3 linked regions of the Stegostoma tigrinum genome follow. The protein of the gene in region 1 interacts with the protein of each later gene in a pairwise test. Links are inferred from orthologs where the notes say so. Each region holds a gene or a part of one and is shown in the gene's direction. Other genes may lie near its edges. The genes, in order: drg1, rwdd1 and zc3h15.

Region 1 (7,400 bases):
GTGTCAGATATGACTCCAACCACCGGAGCGTTTGCCCCCGATACCCATTGACTCCAGTTATGCTAGGGCTCCTTGATGCCACACCCAGTTGAATGCAGCCCTGATGTCAATACTGTCACTCTCATCTCACTTCTGGGATTCAGCTCTTTTGTCCATGTTTGAACCAAGGCTGTAATGAGATCAAGAACTGAGTGGCACTGGTGGAACCCAAACTGGGCATCACTGGGCAAGTTCTTGCTGAGCAGGTGCTGCTTGCTAGTCCTGTTGATGACAACTTCCATCACTTTATTGATAATTGAGAGTAGGCTGATGGGGTGGTAATTGGCCAGGTTGAATTTATCCTGCTTTTTATGTACAGGACATACTTAAGCAATTTTCCATTGTCAGATAAATATCAGTATTATAACTGTACTGGCGCAGCTTGGCTAGGGGAGCGGCAAGTTCTGGACCACACGTCTTCAGTACTGTTGCTGGAATGTGTTCAAGACATGTCTTTGCCATACCCAGTGTCTCCAACCATCTCTTTTTACCACATGAAGTGAATAGAATTGGCAGAAGACCAGTAATGCTGGGGACTACTGGAGGAGGCCAAGATGGATCATCCACTTGGCATTTCCAGCTGAAGACTGCTGTGAAAGCTTCAGCCTTATCTTTCGCACTGATGTGCTGGGCTCTTCCATCATTGAGTATGGGGATATTTGTGGTGCCTCCTCCTCCAGTGAGTTGTTTAACTGTCTACCAACATTCACGACTGGATGTAGCACGACTGCAGAGCTTAGATCTGATCCATTGGTTGTGGGATTGCATAGCTCTATCTATCACACTCTGCTTATGCTGTTTGGATTCCAAGTAGTCCTGTTTGGTGGCTTCACCAGGTATGCCTGGTCCTGCTCCTAGCATTGCCTCCTGCAGTCTTGTACTAAACCAGGGTTGATCCTCTGGCTTGATGGTAATATTTCAGGGGGGATATGCCAGGTTTTGAGGTCACAGATTGTGCTTGAGTACAATTCTGCTGCTGTTGATTGTCCACAATACCTCATGGATACCCAGTCTTAAGGTGCTAGATCTGTGCAAAGTCTGTCCCATTTAGTATGGTGATAGTGCCACTCAACACAATGGAAGTTATTTTCAATGTGAAGGTGGGATTTTGTCTCCACAAGGACTGTGCAGTGGTCACTCTTACTGATACTGTCTTTGACAGATGGAATTGCAACTGGCATTTTGGTAAAAATGAGGGCAAGTATGGTTTTCCCTCGTGTGGTTCCGTCTTCACCTGCTGCATACTCAGTCTAGCGGCTATGTTGTTTAGGACCTCACCAGCTCAATCATTATTACTGCTGCTGAGCCACACTCAGTGGTGGACATTGAAATTCCCCACCCAAAGTACATTTTGTGCCCTTGCCATTCTCAGTGCTTCCTCCAAGTGTTGTTGGAGGAGCACTGTTTCATCAGCTGAGGGAGAACGTTATGCAGTAATCAGCAGGTTTTCTTGCCCGTGTTTAACCTGAAGCCATGAGACTTCATAGGGTCTGCAGTCAATGTTGAGGACTCCCAAAGCAATTCTCTCCCACTGTGTCGCCACCTCTGCTGTGTCTGTCCTACCAGTGAGACAGGACATATTCAGGGATGGTGATGGTGGTGTCTGGGACATTGTCTGTAAGGTATAATTCTGTGAGTATTCTTCTAGTTATGATGTTGCCGATATGGTAATCTTATGTATGTGGAATTTCAGGAATCCCAGCGTGTCTACTGACCAGTAAGGTTTGAAGCTGCAATAGCTTTGAAAAAAGTTTTTCAGTAATCCACAATTTACTTTGATAGCCATGGTTGACAGACATTTTTCAGTTTGTGTGCTTTGAAGGTATATGTCAATAGTGTAAATTAAGAGATAGCTCTTTAAAGGTTATCTATTTCTAATGTACTGTCATATCCTTGAATGTAATTTGTCAATCCATTTCAGCCAATTTGCTGCTCAGAATTTAATTATATCCTTTGTTCAGACTTCCACCCACCTTCAGATTGAACTACCTTATTTTCAAACATTATATTACACATTTCTAAAGATTAATTTACAAGAATATTAATTAGCCATTATTCATAATACTAGATCTAAAATGGTTCATTCTCTCGTCAATTTCTCAACATATCGCACTAGAAAACCATAATGCTCTTCAGGAACTCATTCTTCACAGCATTATTGCACATTAGGTCTACCCAGTCTATATGTAGATTGAAGTCTCCAATGCTTACCGTATTCATCACGCTGGGGAATGTTTCTTTAATTTCTGGATTAATAATGAGGTCCACACTATTGTTTCATGGCCTAGGAACCAGTCCTTTCAATGTATGGTGCCCCCTTGATGTTTCTTAATTTCATCCAAACAGATTCTACATTTTAAAAAAAACTGAGAGCTGCATATGCTACAAATCAGAAATAAAAACAGAAGTTGCTGGAAAAGCTCAGCAGCCTGGCAGCATCTGAGAAGAGAAATCAGAGTTAACATTTCGGGTCTGGTGACCCTGCCTTAGATTCCACATTTTGTTCTACTGATTTGACATCCTCCCTTACTAATGTACTGATCCCATCCCTTATTATCAATGTAACACTACATCCTTTTCCTTTTTGCCTGTCTTTCCTAAATATCAAATATCCTTGAATATTCAATTCCCTAGTTTTGGTTATCATGCAGCTTGGTTTCCCTAATGGTAATTAGATCATACCCATTTTCCTCCATTTGTGCGTTGCAATCACCTACTTTGTTACAAATGCGTTGTGCATTTCAAGTTGAGTGCTCGACTTTGTTTTTGACATTATTTTGCATTCTAAGTTTAGTTGATGCTCACAATCTTTCGCCTGTCTCCTGATTTTACTTATCACATATCTACTTCCTATTGCCAGCTACACTGCTTCCAATTTGAGCTGCAAATCTCTCTGTGAAGATATCAGTCCAGGTCTTGTAAAAGTATAACCTGCCCAACATTCCATCCATCCCAAAACTTGTCTTATTGTTTCAAAAATCTGATCAACTCCTCCTCCACCAATTCTTCAGTTATGTGTTCAATTGATCAATCCTCCTATTCCTATGATCACTACCAGCTAGCATTGGGAGTATTCTGAGATTACTACTCGAGGTCTTGATTTTTAATTTCCTTACAAACTCTCCAGAATCTACTTTCTGGACTGCGTCGCTCCTCCTATCTTGGTCACTGGTACATATGTGGACCATGACCTCTGGCTGGTCATCCACCCCAGAAGGATATCTTACATTTTGTGACATTATTGACCCTGGCACCAGGAGGCAACACACCACCTTAAATTTCTTTACTGCCATGTAAATGCCTGTCTGATCCCCTGACCATGAAATAATCTATCGCTATTGATTTTTGACTCTTTTCCCCTTTCTTTATCTCCAGTGGTGCCAGGGTGGACTCGGGGGACCTCCACACCACTTGCCTATCTTCAACAATTTCATTTCAGCTTCTATGAACCTAACCTGCAATGTGATTACCTCCCTGAATATACTATCTACGTAATTCTCTGCCCTTTGAATGCACAAAAGTGACTCTAGCCATTACTTGCATTCTTGTCCATGGAGCTCAAATTTGCAGTTGGTAACGTTTCTTGCAGATGGGAAAAATGGGATACGTATAGCTGAGTTGACGTACCACTCCGTAACTTTTAAACTACGTATTCGTTCGAATGTGCCGAGTAACTTACCAGTTACTCATCAAACAGCTTCTTTCTGTGTACCAAAGAACCAATTACTGAATGTCTAACAACATACTGAGAAAAAAAATCTCCTCCACCTCTACCACGAAGTCCCTAAAATCACCGAGATCCCAGCTGCATCGAAAATTAGATGAAATGTGACGGAGGGAAGTCCTTTCTAAAATTATTTTCAACGGACCTGTTGGGACATGAGATGATACATATCCATGGAACAAGAGCCAGACCTATGGACACTGCCAATGGCCCTTAAGGTTTATCATGCTCTCTAAAAATCAAGTAAATTGAAACCTCTGAAAACTAGGTTTAACACACCACTTCGTTAAATGGACGGACCTACTCTGAGAGAGCTGAGATACCCCTAATTTAAGGTCGGAACAAAAGATTGACTTCTTTAAATCTATAGAGTAATTCTTAGTTAACTGCTAAAGTGATGTTTGTTGACATCTCCTTGTTGTTCCGTGCTCCTATGCAAACACTCTAAACTGAGGTGTACGACTCGGCATTGCCTCAACGGCCGTTTCAACCGTTAATAACGAACAGCCGCGCGCTGCACTGGGCGGGCGGTGAGGCAATGCGCAGGCGCAGTGGCGCTTTCCCCGCCCAATCCCGCGGAGTGGTCGGTCTCGCGAGGCTGTCTGACTTGGACAGGGTTCATCCGGCTGTGGTTGTTCGACATGAGTATCCTTCAGAAAATCTCGGAGATTGAGGCCGAGGTAATTAGCAGGTCGAGAATCAGAATGTTCGCGTATGGGACACACGACACCGGGGTGGGGAATGGTGAAAGAGGTGATACCAATTGGGGGCGGGGGAAAAGAAGGGATGCAGATGGACAGTGGGTGGCAGGGAGGTAGAGGCCACTCGCCCCCCACCCACACTCGGCACTTCCCCCGTCACATCCCCTCGTCGTCACCCACCACCCCCCCCCCCACTACATTTTGGAAAAACGAAGAAAGACAAAAGTGGGGCCTTGGGCAGTGTTGTAAAACAGAGGGACCCAGGCACAGTTGTTTAAGATAATAAAATGTGAGGCTGGATGAACACAGCAGGCCAAGCAGCATCTCAGGAGCACAAAAGCTGACGTTTCGGGCCTAGACCCTTCATCAGAGAGGGGGATGGGGGGAGGGAACTGGAATAAATAGGGAGAGAGGGGGAGGCGGACCGAAGATGGAGAGTAAAGAAGATAGGTGGAGAGGGTGTAGGTGGGGAGGTAGGGAGGGGATAGGTCAGTCCAGGGAAGACGGACAGGTCAAGGAGGTGGGATGAGGTTAGTAGGTAGCTGGGGGTGCGGCTTGGGGTGGGAGGAAGGGATGGGTGAGAGGAAGAACCGGTTAGGGAGGCAGAGACAGGTTGGACTGGTTTTGGGATGCAGTGGGTGGGGGGGAAGAGCTGGGCTGGTTGTGTGGTGCAGTGGGGGGAGGGGATGAACTGGGCTGGTTGAGGGATGCAGTGGGGGAAGGGGAGATTTTGAAACTGGTGAAGTCCACATTGATACCATATGGCTGCAGGGTTCCCAGGCGGAATATGAGTTGCTGTTCCTGCAACCTTCGGGTGGCATCATTGTGGCAGTGCAGGAGGCCCATGATGGACATGTCATCAAGAGAATGGGAGGGGGAGTGGAAATGGTTTGCGACTGGGAGGTGCAGTTGTTTGTTGCGAACTGAGCGGAGGTGTTCTGCAAAGCGGTCCCCAAGCCTCCGCTTGGTTTCCCCAATGTAGAGAAAGCCGCACCGGGTACAGTGGATGCAGTATACCACATTGGCAGATGTGCAGGTGAACCTCTGCTTAATGTGGAATGTCATCTTGGGGCCTGGGATGGGGGTGAGGGAGGAGGTGTGGGGACAAGTGTAGCATTTCCTGCGGTTGCAGGGGAAGGTGCCGGGTGTGGTGGGGTTGGAGGGCAGTGTGGAGCGAACAAGGGAGTCACGGAGAGAGTGGTCTCTCCGGAAAGCAGACAGGGGTGGGGATGGAAAAATGTCTTGGGTGGTGGGGTCGGATTGTAAATGGCGGAAGTGTCGGAGGATAATGCGTTGTATCCGGAGGTTGGTAGGGTGGTGTGTGAGAACGAGGGGGATCCTCTTGGGGCGGTTGTGGCGGGGGCGGGGTGTGAGGGATGTGTCGCGGGAAATGCGGGAGACGCGGTCAAGGGCGTTCTCGATCACCGTGGGGGGGAAGTTGCGGTCCTTAAAGAACTTGGACATCTGGGATGTGCGGGAGTGGAATGTCTTATCGTGGGAGCAGATGCGGCGGAGGCGGAGGAATTGGGAATAGGGGATGGAATTTTTGCAGGAGGGTGGGTGGGAGGAGGTGTATTCTAGGTAGCTGTGGGAGTCGGTGGGCTTGTAATGGACATCAGTTACAAGCTGGTTGCCTGAGATGGAGACTGAGAGGTCCAGGAAGGTGAGGGATGTGCTGGAGATGGCCCAGGTGAACTGAAGGTTGGGGTGGAAGGTGTTGGTGAAGTGGATGAACTGTTCGAGCTCCTCTGGGGAGCAAGAGGCGGCGCCGATACAGTCATCAATGTACCGGAGGAAGAGGTGGGGTTTGGGGCCTGTGTAGGTGCGGAAGATGGACTGTTCCACGTAACCTACAAAGAGGCAGGCATAGCTGGGGCCCATGCGGGTGCCCATGGCCACCCCCTTAGTCTGTAGGAAGTGGGAGGAGTCAAAAGAGAAGTTGTTGAGTGTGAGGACGAGTTCCGCTAGGCGGATGAGAGTGTCGGTGGAGGGGGCCTGGTCGGGCCTGCGGGACAGGAAGAAGCGGAGGGCCTTGAGGCCATCTCCATGCGGAATGCAGGTGTACAGGGACTGGACGTCCTCCAGTCCCTGTACACCTGCATTCCGCATCCAGTCCCTGTACACCTGCATTCCGCATGGAGATGGCCTCAAGGCCCTCCGCTTCTTCCTGTCCCGCAGGCCCGACCAGGCCCCCTCCACCGACACTCTCATCCGCCTAGCGGAACTCGTCCTCACACTCAACAACTTCTCTTTTGACTCCTCCCACTTCCTACAGACTAAGGGGGTGGCCATGGGCACCCGCATGGGCCCCAGCTATGCCTGCCTCTTTGTAGGTTACGTGGAACAGTCCATCTTCCGCACCTACACAGGCCCCAAACCCCACCTCTTCCTCCGGTACATTGATGACTGTATCGGCGCCGCCTCTTGCTCCCCAGAGGAGCTCGAACAGTTCATCCACTTCACCAACACCTTCCACCCCAACCTTCAGTTCACCTGGGCCATCTCCAGCACATCCCTCACCTTCCTGGACCTCTCAGTCTCCATCTCAGGCAACCAGCTTGTAACTGATGTCCATTACAAGCCCACCGACTCCCACAGCTACCTAGAATACACCTCCTCCCACCCACCCTCCTGCAAAAATTCCATCCCCTATTCCCAATTCCTCCGCCTCCGCCGCATCTGCTCCCACGATAAGACATTCCGCTCCCGCACATCCCAGATGTCCAAGTTCTTTAAGGACCGCAACTTCCCCCCCACGGTGATTGAGAACGCCCTTGACCGCGTCTCCCGCATTTCCCGCGACACATCCCTCACACCCCGCCCCCGCCACAACCGCCCCAAGAGGATCCCCCTCGTTCTCACACACCACCCTACCAACCTCCGGATACAACGCATTATCCTCCGACACTTCCGCCATTTACAATCCGACCCCACCA
Region 2 (7,836 bases), on another chromosome or scaffold:
AGATGGAGACAGAAAGGTGCAGGAAGGTGAGGGATGTGTTGGAGATGCTCCAACTTAAGGTTGGGATGGACGGTGTCGGTGAAGTGGATCAACTGTTCGAGCTCCTCTAGGAAGGATGAGGCGGCGCCGATACAGTCATCAATGTAACAGAGGAAGAGGTAGGGTTTAGGGCCAGTGTAGGTGCGGAAAAGGGACTGTTCCACGTAACCTACAAGGAGGCTGGTATAGCTTGGGCCCATGTGGGTACCCATGGCCACCCCCTTTGTCTGTAGGAAGTGGGAGGAATCGAAAGAGAAGTTGTCGAGGGTGAGGACAAGTTCGGCTAGGTGGATGAGGGTGTCGGTGGAGGGTGCGAAATAGGGACTGTTCCACATAACCTACAAAGAGGCAGGTTTCGCTTGGGCCCATGTGGGTACCCATGGCCACCCACTTTGTCCGTAGGAAGTGGGAGGAATCGAAAGAGAAGTTGTCGAGGGTGAGGACGAGTTCGGCGAGGTGGATGAGGGTGTCGGTGGAGAGGGACTGGTCAGGTCTGCGGGACAGGAAGGAGCGGAGGGCCTTTAGGCCTTCTGCATGGGGAATGCAGGTTAGCCCTCCACCTCCTCCAGAATTTCCAATTCACCGGTCCCCAACACCTCATTTTCACCATGGACATCCAGTCCCTATACACCTGCATTCCCCATGCAGATGGCCTCAAGGCCCTCCACTTCTTCCTGTCCAGCAGGCCCGACCAGTCCCCCTCCACCGACACCCTCATCCACCTAGCCGAACTCGTCCTCACCCTCAACAACTTCTCTTTCGATTCCTCCCACTTCCTACAGACAAAGGGGGTGGCCATGGGTACCTACATGGGCCCAAGCTATACCTGCCTCCTTGTAGGTTACGCGGAACGGTCCCTTTTCCGCACCTACACTGGCCCGAAACCCCATCTCTTCCTCCGTTACATTGATGAATGCATCGGTGCCGCCTCATAGTCCCAAGAGGAGCTCGAACAGTTGATCCACTTCACCAACACCTTCCACCCCAACCTTAAGTTCACTTGGACCATCTCCAACACATCCCTCACCTTCCTGGAACTTTCTGTCTCCATCTCAGGCTACCACCTACAAACCGATGTCCATTTCAAGCCCACCGACTCCCATGGTTACCTGGAATACACCTCCTCCCACCCACCTTCCTGCAAAAATTCCATCCCCTATTCCCAATTCCTTCGCCTCCACCACATCTGCTTCCAGGATGAGGCATTCCACTCCCATACATCCCAGATGTCCTCGTTCTTCAAGTACCGCAACTTCCCCCCTGCAGTGGTCAAGAACGCCCTCGACCGTGTCTCCCGCATTTCCCGCACCTCATCCCTCACACCCCGCCCCCACAATAACCACCAAAAGAGAATCCCCTTATTCCTCACATGCCACCCCACCAACCTCCGGATACAATGCATCAGCCTCCGAAACTTCCACCATCTACAATCCAAACCCACCACTAAAGGCATTTTTCCAACCCCACTCTTATCTGCCTTCCAGAGAGACCACTCTCTCCACAACTCCCTTGTCCGCTCCACACTCCCCTCCAACCCCACCACACCCTGCACTTTCCCCTGCAACCACAGGATGTGCTATACCTGCCGCCACACCTCCTCACTCACCCCCATCCCAGGCCCCAAAATGACTTTCCACATCAAGCAGATGTTCACCTGCACATCCGCCAATATGGTATACTGCATCTGCTGTACCTGGTATGGCTTACTCTACGTTGGGGAAACCAAGCGTGGGTAACGGGTCTTGGTTCGGATTATTAGTTGGCGTAGGGTTGATGTGAGTTTGTGTACAACTGCAATGCCCAGTGGTCATAGGAGTTTTGTGGTCAGTTCAGATGTGTTTTTGATGTAACATAGCGTGACGAATGTGTTGGGGCGTGCAGTATCTTCCTGTTGTCACTCGTGTAATAGACATCTTCTGAGCCAGTTGTGGATACGCGAACAACGTCATATACAAGATTTCCTGCAAAGACTGTGACAAACATTACATTGGTCAGACAGGAAGAAAATTAGCCACAAGAGTAGACGAACATCAACTGGCAACAAAAAGACACAGCCAATACTCACTCATCACCAATCACATGGATAAGAAAAACCACCAGTTTGATTGGGACAACTCCAGGATCCTGGGACAGGTCAAGTAGAGACAAGCGCAGGAATTTCTACAGTCCTGATTGTCCACTAAGAAGGCGATCAACAAAAACACAGAGCTAGACCCTAGTTCTCCTCCACTGTGAAGCAAATCTGGAAGTGACGTAACCCAACTCAACAGGCACCAGAGTTTAACTAGCAGGCAGGAAAATAAAAAGCACTTCATCGGACGCTGCATTGATGACGTTACCCAGCAGGGTAATGAAACATCTGCGGAACAACAAACCAGCTCTGTGAGCCAACCAACCACAACATCCACAACCCGCACTACAATTCTACACTAAAAGTTTACAATGCTACGGTACGTTGCAATGTAGCATTCCTTGGCAATATGAACGGACCCATCGCTTGCAGCACCCCAGGCAAAACATCAGAACATAATAAAATTTTGTGTTCATATACTGAGGGATTACGCATAGTTTGATGCAACTGCATAGAAAAAGTAGATGAGTATGAGGGGGCAATGCTGTTACTTTTTTCACTTTTATCTTGAAGTTTATGCCCTTCCAAATGTAGTCCTTTTCCAAGCTTCAAATAATGTAGAAAATGAAATGGCTGCCATGTACAGCATCACCAAGAGCACCCTGCATCCAATGGCCAGATTCTCACCTGCAATGGAGACAGAATGTCGCTCCTATGTGCCATTTTTGTTTGACCATACCAATTCACTTCATCCAAATTTTAGCAGATACTCTGATTGCTCTGAACCATTTATGCAGAGAGTTCAGGTAATCTATCCAAACAATGAAGGAATCAAAATCCAGTTCCAAAAGAACAGGGCTGTACTCTTGCCTCAGCGATAGTAAGAACTGCAAATGCTGGAGTTAGAGATGACACAGTGTGGAGCTGAAGGAACACAGCAGGCCAAGCAGCATCAGAGGAGCAGGAACGTTGACATTTCGGATCGGAACCCTTCTTCAGAAATGAGGAGAGAGAGTGAATAGAGAGAGGAGAGGTGGGGCTTAGGAAGGTAGGTGGGATGGCAATAGGTAATTGCAGGTAGGCAGTGGTGCAGATTAGTCAGTGAGATGGGGGCAGATAGGTGGAAGAGAAGATGGACAGGTTGTGTCAGGTTAAGGAGGCAGGGTGACAGGGAGGGTTGATCATGGGATGTGGCTGAGGGTGGGGAGATTTTGAAAGTGGTAAAAACCACATTTAAGACATTGGGCTGTAGGCTCCCAAGGTGGAAAATGAGGTGCTGCTCCTCCAGTTTCTGGGTGGTGTCATTGTGGCACTGGAGGAGGCCCAGAATGAACACAATGCAGATACTCTACAAAACAGTTTCCGAGCCTCGGCTTGGTCTCATTAATGTAGAGGCCGCCACATTGGGAGCAGTGGATGCAGCAGACCATGACAGATGTGCAGGTGAACTTCTGTCTAATGTAGGTTACTTTTGTGCCTTGAACGGAGCTGAGGAGAGAGGTGTAGGGGCAGGTGTATCACTTCCTGAAGTTGCAAGGAAAGGTGTCAGTGGTGGTGGGGCTAGTGGGGAGCGTGGAGCGGACAAGGGAGTCGCAGAGACAGCGGTGCCGATAAAAGGCAGATAGGGTGAGGAGGAAATATACCTTTGGTTGTGGGGTCGGATTGTCGGTGATGGGAGTGGCAGAAAATAATACATTGGATATGGAGTCTTTGGTGTGATATGTGAGGACAAGGTGTATTCTGTCTTTACTTTCATTGGGGAGAGCAGATGCAATAGCAGAGGTGTGGGAAATGCAAGAGATACAGTAGAGGGCATTTCTGATCACCAGCGGAGTATGGTGTAGTCCTTGAAATAGGAGGTCATCAGCGATGTCCGGGAGTGGTATGCTCCATCTTGGGAGCAGATGCGGCGGAGGTGAAAGAATTGGGAGGAAGGGATCGCATTCTTGCAGGAAGGTGGGTGACAGGAGGTGTAGTCTACGTAGCTACAGGAGTTGGTGGGCTTAAAATTGATCTTGGTTTCGAGGCGGTCACCAGAGACGGAGACGGAAAGGCCCAGGAAGGAGGGGGAGGTATTAGAGATGGTCTAGGTGAATCTGAGGTTGAGGTGAAAGGTGTCAGTAAGGTTGATGAACTGTTCAAGCTCCTCGTGGAAGCACGAGTAACCCCTCTTGCCTCAATTCTCCGTCGCTTCCGAGACCAGGTCAAACTGGATCGCAGATGATAACCAGTCTGTCCTCTCAACAGCGGGTGCCAAACAGAGGACCGTATCATCATCTGTGCACAAAGCGGCTTTAAACCTAAACGTAGGCCATTTATGAAACTAATTCCATTAATAATCCAGGAGAATCCTAACTTCACTGGAAATACATGGTCTACCGGGGCACAAATCGTATAGTTTGGGGAGTGGAGAGGATGGGAATCGCTGTTTTTCCTCAAAGAGATCGCAATCCATTGTTTCAGCAAAATATTGTAATTTTTAAATGTTCTGCCTGAATGATAACTCCTGAATTTAGCCTAATAACCGCTAACAGACACATAAACCTACTGAGACACGAATGAAGGCAAGCGTCCCACCTCCGAACCGACACGCCGCCAATAACGAGGCATCGACAAGAAGAACCCCGTCTCTCAGTCCTTCGAGCTCCTCCGCCCTCACCTGGGAGGACTCGGCCCTTGTTAGCCAACACACGGGCTCTGCGCGCGCGCAAACCGAGCCTCTCTCGGGGAGGAGGGAGACCGGTGGAGGAGGGGAGCGCATGTGCAGAGCGGGCTTGTCGGTCGGTGTCGCCCTTTATCTTAATGGCGTTTCTCAGTCGTTCAACATGACCGATTACATCGAGGAGCAGCGCAATGAGCTGGAGGCACTGGAGTCCATTTATCCGGACTCGTTCACAGGTGAGAGGCCTCTGTTCGGGCCGAGGGCCCTCCGCTAAGGAGAGGGGCCGGGGCCGGGCCATGGGCCATGGGCCGGGTTCTGCCACTGGGCCACGGGAGATGGGAAGAGGCTGGCAGCCGGAGGGGAGGGGAGGGCTTCGCTGTGGCCGGTTTGGGAGCTACTGGCATCTGAAACCGTCAGAATGTGGTAGGTAAACAGTCTGGTTACGTGTCACGTGTCGTTAGTTCCGCATCTTCTCAAAGCCGTCCACGGGTGAGGGATTGGATGATCATCATCCTTGGTACTTGGGAACATCTGTATTGATATTATAACAATCAAGAATTAGCCCTGTCAATAAAAATGTGCGGGATTTAGTTTCATTGATTTGTCCCCACGTGTGAAATTGTAAGGCGTATGGAATGTTGAAGCAATGAGTAAGTATATTCTGATGCGAAACAAAATAGGGGGGCAGCAGAATCAAACTTCGTAGTGAATAGGATTTAAATATCTGAAAACAAAATAGCTTATTTAACAGTGGGATGTTCTATTCCCTCTTCATTAGTCTTCACCTCTGCCTTTTTTAAGTTCTCATCTGGAATCTGTGCTTTCCTGTCTATAATTAACCTTAAACCGTTAGGTGCTGAGCATAAAAACCAAAAGAACAGTGGATGCTGTAAATCAGAACCAAAAACTGGAAAAGCTCAGCAGGTCTGGCAGCATCTGTGAAGAGAAGTCAGAGTTAACATTTTGGGCCTGGTGACAAGCCCTCAGGCATCTCTGACAGAGAAATTTTAGGTGCTGCATGCCTCATCATGCATGGCTGACCAAGCATCTCTCCAGCTTGATCGGCTTTGGCTTGAGTTGGATGGATTGTCAAACTGTTTGGCTGCATCATAAACACACTTTCTGTGGGCAATGATGCTACAGTAGGAATTGATCCGAAGCTTCTGATTCAGAGGCACAGGCATTACTGTCAAGATACAATACTTTTATTTGTTAACAAAGTGTGGGGCTGGATGAACACAGCAGGCCAAGCAGCATCTTAGGAGCACAAAAGCTGACGTTTCGGGCCTAGACCCTTCATCAGAAAAGGGGGTTGGAGGGAGGATTCTGAAATAAATAGGGGGAGAGGGGGAGGCAGACCGAAGATGGATAGAGGAGAAGATAGGTGGAGAGGAGAGTATGTGTGGGGAGGTAGGGAGGGGATAGGTCAGTCCAAGGAGGACGGACATGTCAACGGGATAGGATGAGGTTAGTAGGTAGGAAATGGAGGTGCGGCTTGAGGTGGGAGGAGGGGATAGGTGAGAGGAAGAACAGGTTAGGGAGGCGGGGACGAGCTGGGCTGGTTTTGGGATGCAGTGGTGGGGAGGGGAGATTTTGAAGCTGGTGAAATCCACATTGATACCATTGGGCTGCAGGGTTCCAAGCGGAATATGAGTTGCTGTTCCTGCAACCTTCGGGTGGCATCATTATGGCACTGCAGGAGGCCCAGGATGGACATGTCGGCTAGGGAATGGGTGGGGGGGGTGGAACTTGAAATGTTCACAACTGGGAGGTGCAGTTGTTTATTGCGAACCAAGGGTAGGTGTTCTGCAAAGCAGTCGCCGAGCCTCCGCTTGGTTTCCCCAATGTAGAGGAAGCCACACCATGTACAGTGGATACAGTATACCACATTGGCGGATGTGCAGGTGAACATCTGCTTGATGTGGAAAGTCATTTTGGGGTTTGGGATGGGGGTGAGGGAGGAGCTGTGGGGGCAGGTGTAGCACTTCCAGCGGTTGCAGGGGTAAGTAATGGGTTTGGTGGGGTTGGAGGGGAGTGTGAGGCAGACAAGGCAGTCGCGGAGAGAGTGGTCACTCCAGAAGGCAGACAAGGGTGGGGATGGAAAATGTCTTTCGTGGTGGGGTCAGATTGTAGATGGCGGAAGTATCGGAGGATGATGCGTTGTGTCTGGAGGTTAGTGGGGTGGTATGTGAGGACTAGGGGGATTCTCTTTTGGCGGTTATTGCGGGGGCGGGGTGTGAGGGATGAGATGCGGGTGATACGGTTCAGGGCGTGCTTGACCACTGGAAAGGGGAAGTTGCGGTCCTTGAAGAACGACGACATCTGGGATGTGCAGGAATGGAATGCCTCATCCTGAGAGCAGATGCGGCAGAGGTGAAGGAATTGGGAATACGGGATGGAATTTTTGCAGGAATGTGGCTGCGAGGTGGTGTTGGGAGCACGAGACGGCGCCGATACAGTCATCAAGGTAATGGAGGAAGAGGTGGGGTTTTGGGCCAGTATAGGTGCAAAAGAGGGACTGTTCCACATAACCTACAAAAAGGCAGGCATAGCTTGGGCCACCCCCTTTGTCTGTAGGAAGTGGGAGGAATCGACAGTGAAGTTGAGGGTGAAGACGAGTTCGGCTAGGTGGATGAGGGTGTCGGTGGAGGGGGACTGGTTGGGTCTGTGGGACCCTAACCCCCACCTCTTCCGCTGCTACATTGATGACTGTATCGGCGCCGCCTCATGCTCCCAAGAAGAGCTCAAACACCTTCCACCCCAACCTTCAGTTCACCTGGCCATCTCCAACACATCCCTCACCTTCCTGGACCTTTCTGTCTCCATCTCAGGCAACCACCTCCAAACCGATGTCCATTTCAAGCCCACCGACTCCCACAGTTACCTGGAATACACCTCGTCCCACCCACCTACCTGCAAAAATTCCATCGCATATTCCCAATTCCTTCGCCTCCGCCGCATCAGCTCCCAAGATGAGGCATTCCACTCCCGCACATCCCAGATATCCTCGTTCTTCAAGGACCGCAACTCACCCACCCCGACCCCCATCCCACCACCCCGCAGT
Region 3 (7,757 bases), on another chromosome or scaffold:
CACCCCAGCCTTGAGTTCACCTGGGCCATCTCCAGCACATCTCTCACCTTCCTGGACCTCTCAGTCTCCATCTCAGGCAACCAGCTTGGAACTGATGTCCATTTCAAGCCCACCAACTCCCACAGCTACCTAGAATACACCTCCTCCCACCCACCCTCCTGCAAAAATTCCATCCTCTATTCCCAATTCCTCCGCCGCATCTGCTCCCACGATGAGGCATTCCACTCCCGCACATCCCAGATGTCCAAGTTCTTCAAGGACCGCACCTTTCTCCCCGCAGTGGTCGGGAACGCCCTTGACCGCGTCTGCCGCATTTCCCGCAACACATCCCACACACCCCGCCCCCGCCACAACTGTTCGAAGAGGATCCCCCTCGTTCTCACACCGCACCCCACCAACCTCCGGATACAACGCATCATCCTCCGACACTTCCGCCATCTACAATCCGACCCCACCACCTAAGACATTTTTCCATCCCCACCCTTGTCTGCTTTCCAGAGAGACCACTCTCTCCGTGACTCCCTTGTTCACTCCACACTGCCCTCCAACTCCACCACACCCGGCACCTGCCCCTGCAACCTCAGGAAATGCTACACTTGCCCCCACACCTCCTCCCTCACCCCTATCAGGCCCCAAGACGACTTTCCATATTAAGCAGAGGTTCAGCTGCGCATCTGCCAATGTGGTATACTGTATCCATTGTACCCGGTGTGGCTTCCTCTACATTGGGGAAGCCAAGCGGAGGCTTGGGGACCGCTTTGCAGAACACCTCCACTCGGTTTGCAATAAACAACTGCCCCTCCCAGTGGCGAACCATTTCCACTCCCCCTCCCATTCTTTAGATGACATGTCCATCATGGGCCTCCTGCAGTGCCACAATGATGCCACCTGAAGGTTGCAGGAACAGCAACTCATATTCCACTTGGGAACCCTGCAGCCCAATGGTATCAATGTGGACTTCACCAGCTTCAAAATCTCCCCTTCCCCCACCGCATCCCAAAATCAGCCCGGTTCGTCCCCTCCCCCCACTGCACCACACAACCAGCCCAGCTCTTGCCCCCCCCACACTGCATCCCAAAACCAGTCCAACCTGTCTCTGCCTCCCTAACCTGTTCTTCCTCTCACCCATCCCTTCCTCCCACCCCAAGCTGCACCTCCATTTCCTGCCTACTAACCTCATCCCACCTCCTTGACTTGTCCGTCTTCCCTGGACTGACCTATCCCCTCCCTACCTCCCCACCTATACTCTCTCCAACTATCTTCTTTTCTCTCCATCTTCGGTCCCCCTCCCCCTCTCTCCCTATTTATTCCAGAACCCTCTCCCCATCCCCCTCTCTGATGAAGGGTTTAGGCCCGAAACGTCAGCTTTTGTGCTCCTGAGATGCTGCTTGGCCTGCTGTGTTCATCCAGCTCCACACTTTATTATCTTTACTTCACTGGAGTTTAACTGGCAGGTTTACATTGGCTGGTATTTACTCTGGATTGTATTTACACTATAGGATTTACTCCACCATATTTTATACTGGGCAAGGCTTAGACTGTGTGACACTTACAATGGGTGGGACTGACTTCAAAAGGTTTTACACAGGATGAGATCGACAGTGGGTATGATTTATTCCACTAGGTTTTACACTGGGCTAGAGTTACAGCAGACCACATATACACTGGGTGGTATTTACACTGCGTGGGATTTACTCCACCAAGTTTTACACAGAGTGAGATTTACTTCAATGTGTTTTACACCCGGCAGGATTTACAGTGGGCCATCTTTACACCAAGCAGCATTTTCACCAGGCAGTACTTATATAGGCTCATATTTAAACTGAGTGGGGTTTACAGTGGGTGGTATTTTTGCTGCCATATTTACACAAGGCAGTATATGCATCTGTTGGTATTTATACCTGGAACACTTGTGACAGAGAGTATTTACACCAAGTGGTATTTACACTGAGCGGTATCGATACTGAACATGTTTACCTTGTGCTTAGTCAAACATGCTCATAATCGCACTAAGTGGTGTTTACATCTGGTGGGATGGTATTCATATCTCTCAGTATTAACATTAGGTATTATTATGTCAAATGGTATTTAAACTAGGCAGAATTTACAACTGACAGTATTTGCATCTAGCGGCACTGACGTTGGGTAGTAATTATGCTGGGTAGTATTTACACAAGACAGCCTTTGCACGAACAGTGAAGTACACCAAGTGGTACTTACTTCAGATATGACTGACTCCAGGCTGTATTTACTCCAGGTGATATTTACACTGGGAGTGATATATGTCAGGTGAGATTTACACTGGGCAGCATTAATACCAGGTCATATTCACAGCAGGTGAAATGCTTACATGGTGGATTTACACTGTGCAGAATTTACAGCATGAGATGTTTATTGCTGGTAGGATATACACCAAGTGATATTTGTCCTCTGCTGTACTTACACACGAACAGCAATGAAGCTGGAGAAGTTTACACCAGGTATCACATCAGGAAGTATTTTTAGCACATGGTATTTACTGTGGGCTACACTCCAACTTAGTGGTACTGTATTTAGAGTTGATTGTATTTACACTCAGCGATATTTACATTGGGCAGGATTTATTACCGGGCAGGATTTAGATGTCCTGGGATTTTCACTGGGCAGTATTCACAATGAAGAGGTTTTACACTAGGTACATTTATGATGTGAAATATTTATACAGTGGATCATATTTACACCTGGTACATTAACACCAGAGATTTATACCTGGTGGTATTAACGAAGGCAGTAATTTCCCCAGGTCAGACTCACACATGACAGTATTTAACCCAGACAGTATACACATTAGGAGGGCTTTATACCAGGTGGAATTTGTAATATGTGATACTTACACCGGTGAGACTCCCCAAGGTGATGGATTCTTATCCATGGTGGGATTCTCACCTGGCACAGGATTGTTGTCGTGCTGGTTCCTTATTCAGGATGGGATACGCCCGGGTATAGGACTCACAAACAGGGGTGGAATACCACAAAGCGTGTGAATCTCCAATGAACAGGATTTCCACCCAGTGCAGGATACCCCAGGTGTGGGATTCCCCTGGGTACGGGATTCCACCCGGACGCAGGATTCTCACACAGTGTAGGATTCCCCCAGGTACAGGATTCTCACCTGGTGCAGGATTCCCCCAGGTACAGGATTGCCCCAGGTGCAGAATTCTCACCTGGTGCAGATTCCCCCAGGTACAGGATTCCCCCAGGTGGAGGATTTTCATCTGGTGCTGGATTGTCCCAGGTACAGGATTGCCCCAGGTGCAGATTTCCCACCTGGTGCGGATTCCCCCAGGTGCAAGATTTTCACCTCGTGCGGGATTCCCCCAGGTGCAGGATTCTCACCTGGTGCGGGATTTCCCCCGGTACAGAATTCCCCCAGGTGCAGGATTCCCCCAGGTGCAGGATTCTCACCTGGTGCGGGATTTCCCCCAGGTACAGAATTCCACCCCCCACCCCCGGTGCGGAGTTCCCCCAGGTGCAGGATTCTCACCTGGTGCGGGATTTCCCCCGGTACAGAATTCCCCCAGGTGCAGGATTCCCCCAGGTGCAGGATTCTCACCTGGTGCGGGATTTCCCCCAGGTACAGAATTCCCCCCCCACCCCCGGTGCGGAGTTCCCCCAGGTACAGAATTCTCCCAAGTGCAGGATTCTCACCGGGTGCAGGATTCCCCCAGATGCAGGATTCCCCCAGGTGCAGGATTCTCACCTGGTGCGGGATTTCCCCCAGGTACAGAATTCCCCTCCCACCCCCGGTGCGGGGTTCCCCCAGGTACAGAATTCTCCCAAGTGCAGGATTCTCACCGGGTGCGGGATTCCCCCAGGTACAGAATTCCCCCAAGTGCAGGATTCTCACCTGGTGCAGGTTTCCCCAGGTACAGAATTCCCCCAAGTGCAGGATTCTCACCTGGTGCGGGATTCCCCCAGGTACAGGATTCTCACCTGGTGCCGGATTCCCCCAGGTACAGAATTCTCACCTGGTGCGGGATTCCCCCAGGTACAGAATTCCCCCAGGTGCAGGATTCTCACCTGGTGCGGGATTCCCCCAGGTACAGAATTCTCACCTGGTGCGGGATTCCCCCAGGTACAGAATTCCCCCAGGTGCAGGATTCTCACCTGGTGCAGGATTCCCCCAGGTACAGAATTCTCACCTGGTGCGGGATTCCCCCAGGTACAGAATTCCCCCAGGTACAGAATTCTCACCTGGTGCGGGATTCCCCCAGGTACAGAATTCTCACCTGGTGCGGGATTCCCCCAGGTACAGAATTCTCACCTGGTGCGGGATTCCCCCAGGTACAGAATTCCCCCAGGTACAGAATTCTCACCTGGTGCGGGATTCCCCCAGGTACAGAATTCTCACCTGGTGCGGGATTCCCCCAGGTACAGAATTCCCCCAGGTACAGGAATCTCACCTTGTGCGGGATACCCCCAACCACAGGAGAGGGCTACGCCCTAGTTCCAGAATACCACCCAGGTGCGGGATACGCCCCCACGTGCGGGATTGTTCGCCCCCAGATGCCGGATACCCCCCAAACATGCGCGGGCTGTCATCGGAGCGGTCGGAGTTCCGGCGCGGGATGATCAGCGAGGCCCCGCCCTCTCCCATTGTGGTTGCCGTGGTGTCCGCGCGTGCGCGGAGGTGGTCAGCTGAGATCACCCACAATTCAGTGCGGGGGCGCCGTCGGCGTTGTGGGGACCGGGGCCCAATTCTGAGGCCGGCTGTGGGAGCAGGGCGAGCGGACACTGATTCAGGCTGCGATGCCGCCCAAGAAATCCTCGAGTCAACCCAGCAAAAAGACTGAGCAGAAGAAAAAAGAGAAGGTCATCGAGGTGAGTTGGGGAGGCATCGGCATTGCGCGATCCGACCTCTGCTCCCGCGGCGCCGACAGGGACAGGCCAGGCCGGGCCGGGCCGAGCGTGTGGCCACCCCCTCGGCCGCAGTGGGGAACGGAGGGGTTCTGGGAGGAGAAGGCCCCGATTTGAGTTTCAAGTTGTGTATATATTCCTGTTTCCGTTTTTTCTCTCTTCTCCAGTCTGGCTGTTCTGTGCGGAGTTTAATGACCCTGTTAACTCGTGTGTTGTGGGTCCTGTGTGTGTGTGTGTGTGTGTGTGTGTGAGAGAGAGAGAGTGCGAGTGAGTGATGGCTCTGTAGGTATGGCAAGGAGGCATGTGTTGGAGATTGAAATACTGTTCCTCCCACCACAGGCTACAGTGAGCTGCCTCTTTTAGCAAAAACCCACCTGTCGGTTTACAATTCTGATGACAGCCCACTGGCCGTAAATGTTAACTCTTGATTTCCTTCCTCCATCTCCACGGATGTTGTCCGACCCACCGCATATTTGCAGCGTTTTCTGTTTTTTTTTTCCTATTTCGACCTGCTTTCGTGTCAGTTCACAGTACCTGTTAACGATGGCTTCGGGGGGGGGTGGTCTTTTTCCTGGGGTCATGTGGTTTTAAGGTTGTATAATTCAAAACACTTGGGGTAGTTTGCGAAAGACAGTATTATGTCATTAATTTCAAAAGCAAGATCCTGGAAGTGCTGAGCACCTGAAGAAATAGAAAATGCTGGAAATGTTCAGATTTGGCAGTTTGAGGAAAACTGGACAGCTAATGTTTCAATTTATTGACCTTTCATCATTGACTTGAAATGCTAACCCTGTATTATATCTCTGTTTGATTGTAGAATTAACACTGTTACAATTTCTGTATTAAAAATTGTAGCTACTTTAGTATTATGGTCTAATGTAAGGTGTGATCTAAAATAACTATCAGACTAAATCAAGACATTTTTGGCAGTATATCTCCTCATGAAAATGAAGACTGGGTAAATACTTTTCAAAACATAAAATTTGGATACTGCGTATAGAGAGAATGTTACCTCATGGGAAGAGCGTAACAAGAGGCCAGCAATATACAAGATTCTTCAAGAAATCCAGTAGAGGCTTCAGGAGGAACTACTTTTCCTAATGGGTATTTAAATGCAGAACCAACTACCACAGTGAGTGAAGGAAATAGTATTGATATATTTAAGGGAAAAAAGGCAAGCACATTACGGAGAAAGGATAGTTATGGTTTTAGGTCAGAGTAGATGGTAACATGTTTAACTTGAGCACGAATGCTATCCTGCACCAGATGTGCTGAATGGCCTGCTACTTGCAAACATTAATTCTGCACCTTGTAGGCAGTATAAATCAGTTGAGAAACAAAGGAGCAGGTGTCTGCTATTTGGTCCTTTGAGCATGATCCACCATTCGGTGGAATCATGGTAGATCAGACTTTAATTGAATCTCTCTTCTGTCTGTGCTCCACAATTGTTTACTCCCTGTTTGCATCTAAATAATACTTAGTGGCTTTCACAATCGCAATGTTTTATCACCAATTAAGTAATTTTAATTAGTCACTAATATAGGAAAAATCACTCCAATTTGTGCATACAAACTCCCTCCAATAACATTATGAAGATGTAATCTGTAGTAATATTGATTGAGAGATGTGTATTAGACTGGACATTGGGGATAACTCCCCTGCTCTTCTTCAGAATAGTGCCATTGGATCTTTACATCCTTCTGAAAGAACACTTGGAACCACGGTTTAACATCCCGTCTGAATGACGGTACCTCTGACAGTGCAGCACCCCTTCAGTACTGCACTGGAGTGTGCATCTAGATTTGAGCTCAAACCTCTGGAGTGGGACTTGAACTCACAACTTTCTAACTCAGGTGAGATCACTACAAATTGATCCATGGCAATTGTTAGATTCTAACAGCTGCTAAATAAAAACAATGCATCAGTTTGGTACTATTATCTATCTACAATGATTGGGCAGACGTTCTTTGTTATATAGTGACTTTTCAGATGGTAATGTAGAGATATAGGATGTGTCAATTCAAAAGCGATGAGAGGAAAGCTAAAATAAAAACCAAGTACAAGAGTAGCTCAGGTCTGACAACAACTGGGGGGAGAGAAATCGTTAATGGTTCGAGTTTGATGTGACTCTTGAGAATGGAAGAGAAAAGCTAAGGCTGTTGAGAAAGTGATGTGGAAAAAAACTGGTGAATGAATTGGGAAGAAACAGAACTTAGCAAATGTGATAATGCATTAATGACTGAAATGGCATTGGAGGAAAAAGTATTTAAAGCTAAGATATTAGCTCTGAATATTCAGAGCAAAAAATCGGTGGCCCGGTGGTTAGTTCTGCTGCATCACAGGGCCAGGAATACAGGTTTGATTTCAGCCTTGAGCGACTGTCTGTGGAGTTTACATGTTCTCCAGACATCTGCATAGGTTACCTCCGGGTGCCCTGGTTTCCTCCCACACTCCAAAGATGTGCAGGCTAAGTGGATTGGGGCCATGCTAAATTGCCCATAGTGTCCAGGGATGTGCAGTCTAGGTGCCTTCGCCATGCAGGGTTACTGAGATAAGGTGGCGGAGGTGGTCTGAGTCAGATGCTGTTAGATGGTTGTGTTGATTTGATGCACTAACTGTGATAGTTTTAGTGTTAGGGTTAGACTGGCCTCCTTCCACACTATAGGGATTGTACGATCTTGTAGCTGTTGCTATTAAGATAGCAAGATTTTGGAGCAGAAGTAGGCTATTCAGCCCATCATCTGCTCTGCTGTTCAACAAGATCATAGGTGATCTGATAACCGCTAACTCCACTTTCCTGCCTTTTCCCCATAACTCTTAATTCACTTGGTGGTATTGAGTAAGCTACTAGAGTTGGCAAG

What was found.
Region 2: the proteins of drg1 (region 1) and rwdd1 interact in binary tests that used the Homo sapiens proteins (3 or more experiments, as listed by UniProt). The two-hybrid records come from large-scale screens. The link is inferred for Stegostoma tigrinum from reciprocal best matches to the Homo sapiens genes DRG1 and RWDD1.
Region 3: the proteins of drg1 (region 1) and zc3h15 interact in binary tests that used the Homo sapiens proteins (3 or more experiments, as listed by UniProt). The two-hybrid records come from large-scale screens. The link is inferred for Stegostoma tigrinum from reciprocal best matches to the Homo sapiens genes DRG1 and ZC3H15.

Annotation. Positions count from the first base shown.
Region 1 is NC_081379.1:46,784,292-46,791,691, reverse strand, and holds the start of drg1 (developmentally-regulated GTP-binding protein 1), read left to right. Parts: upstream 1-4,332; 5' UTR 4,333-4,404; coding exon 4,405-4,443; intron 4,444-7,400. UniProt on the Homo sapiens protein: Catalyzes the conversion of GTP to GDP through hydrolysis of the gamma-phosphate bond in GTP. Appears to have an intrinsic GTPase activity that is stimulated by ZC3H15/DFRP1 binding likely by increasing the affinity for the potassium ions.
Region 2 is NC_081357.1:57,080,765-57,088,600, reverse strand, and holds the start of rwdd1 (RWD domain-containing protein 1), read left to right. Parts: upstream 1-4,820; 5' UTR 4,821-4,869; coding exon 4,870-5,008; intron 5,009-7,836. UniProt on the Homo sapiens protein: Protects DRG2 from proteolytic degradation.
Region 3 is NC_081360.1:39,409,493-39,417,249, reverse strand, and holds the start of zc3h15 (zinc finger CCCH domain-containing protein 15), read left to right. Parts: upstream 1-4,682; 5' UTR 4,683-4,788; coding exon 4,789-4,860; intron 4,861-7,757. UniProt on the Homo sapiens protein: Protects DRG1 from proteolytic degradation. Stimulates DRG1 GTPase activity likely by increasing the affinity for the potassium ions.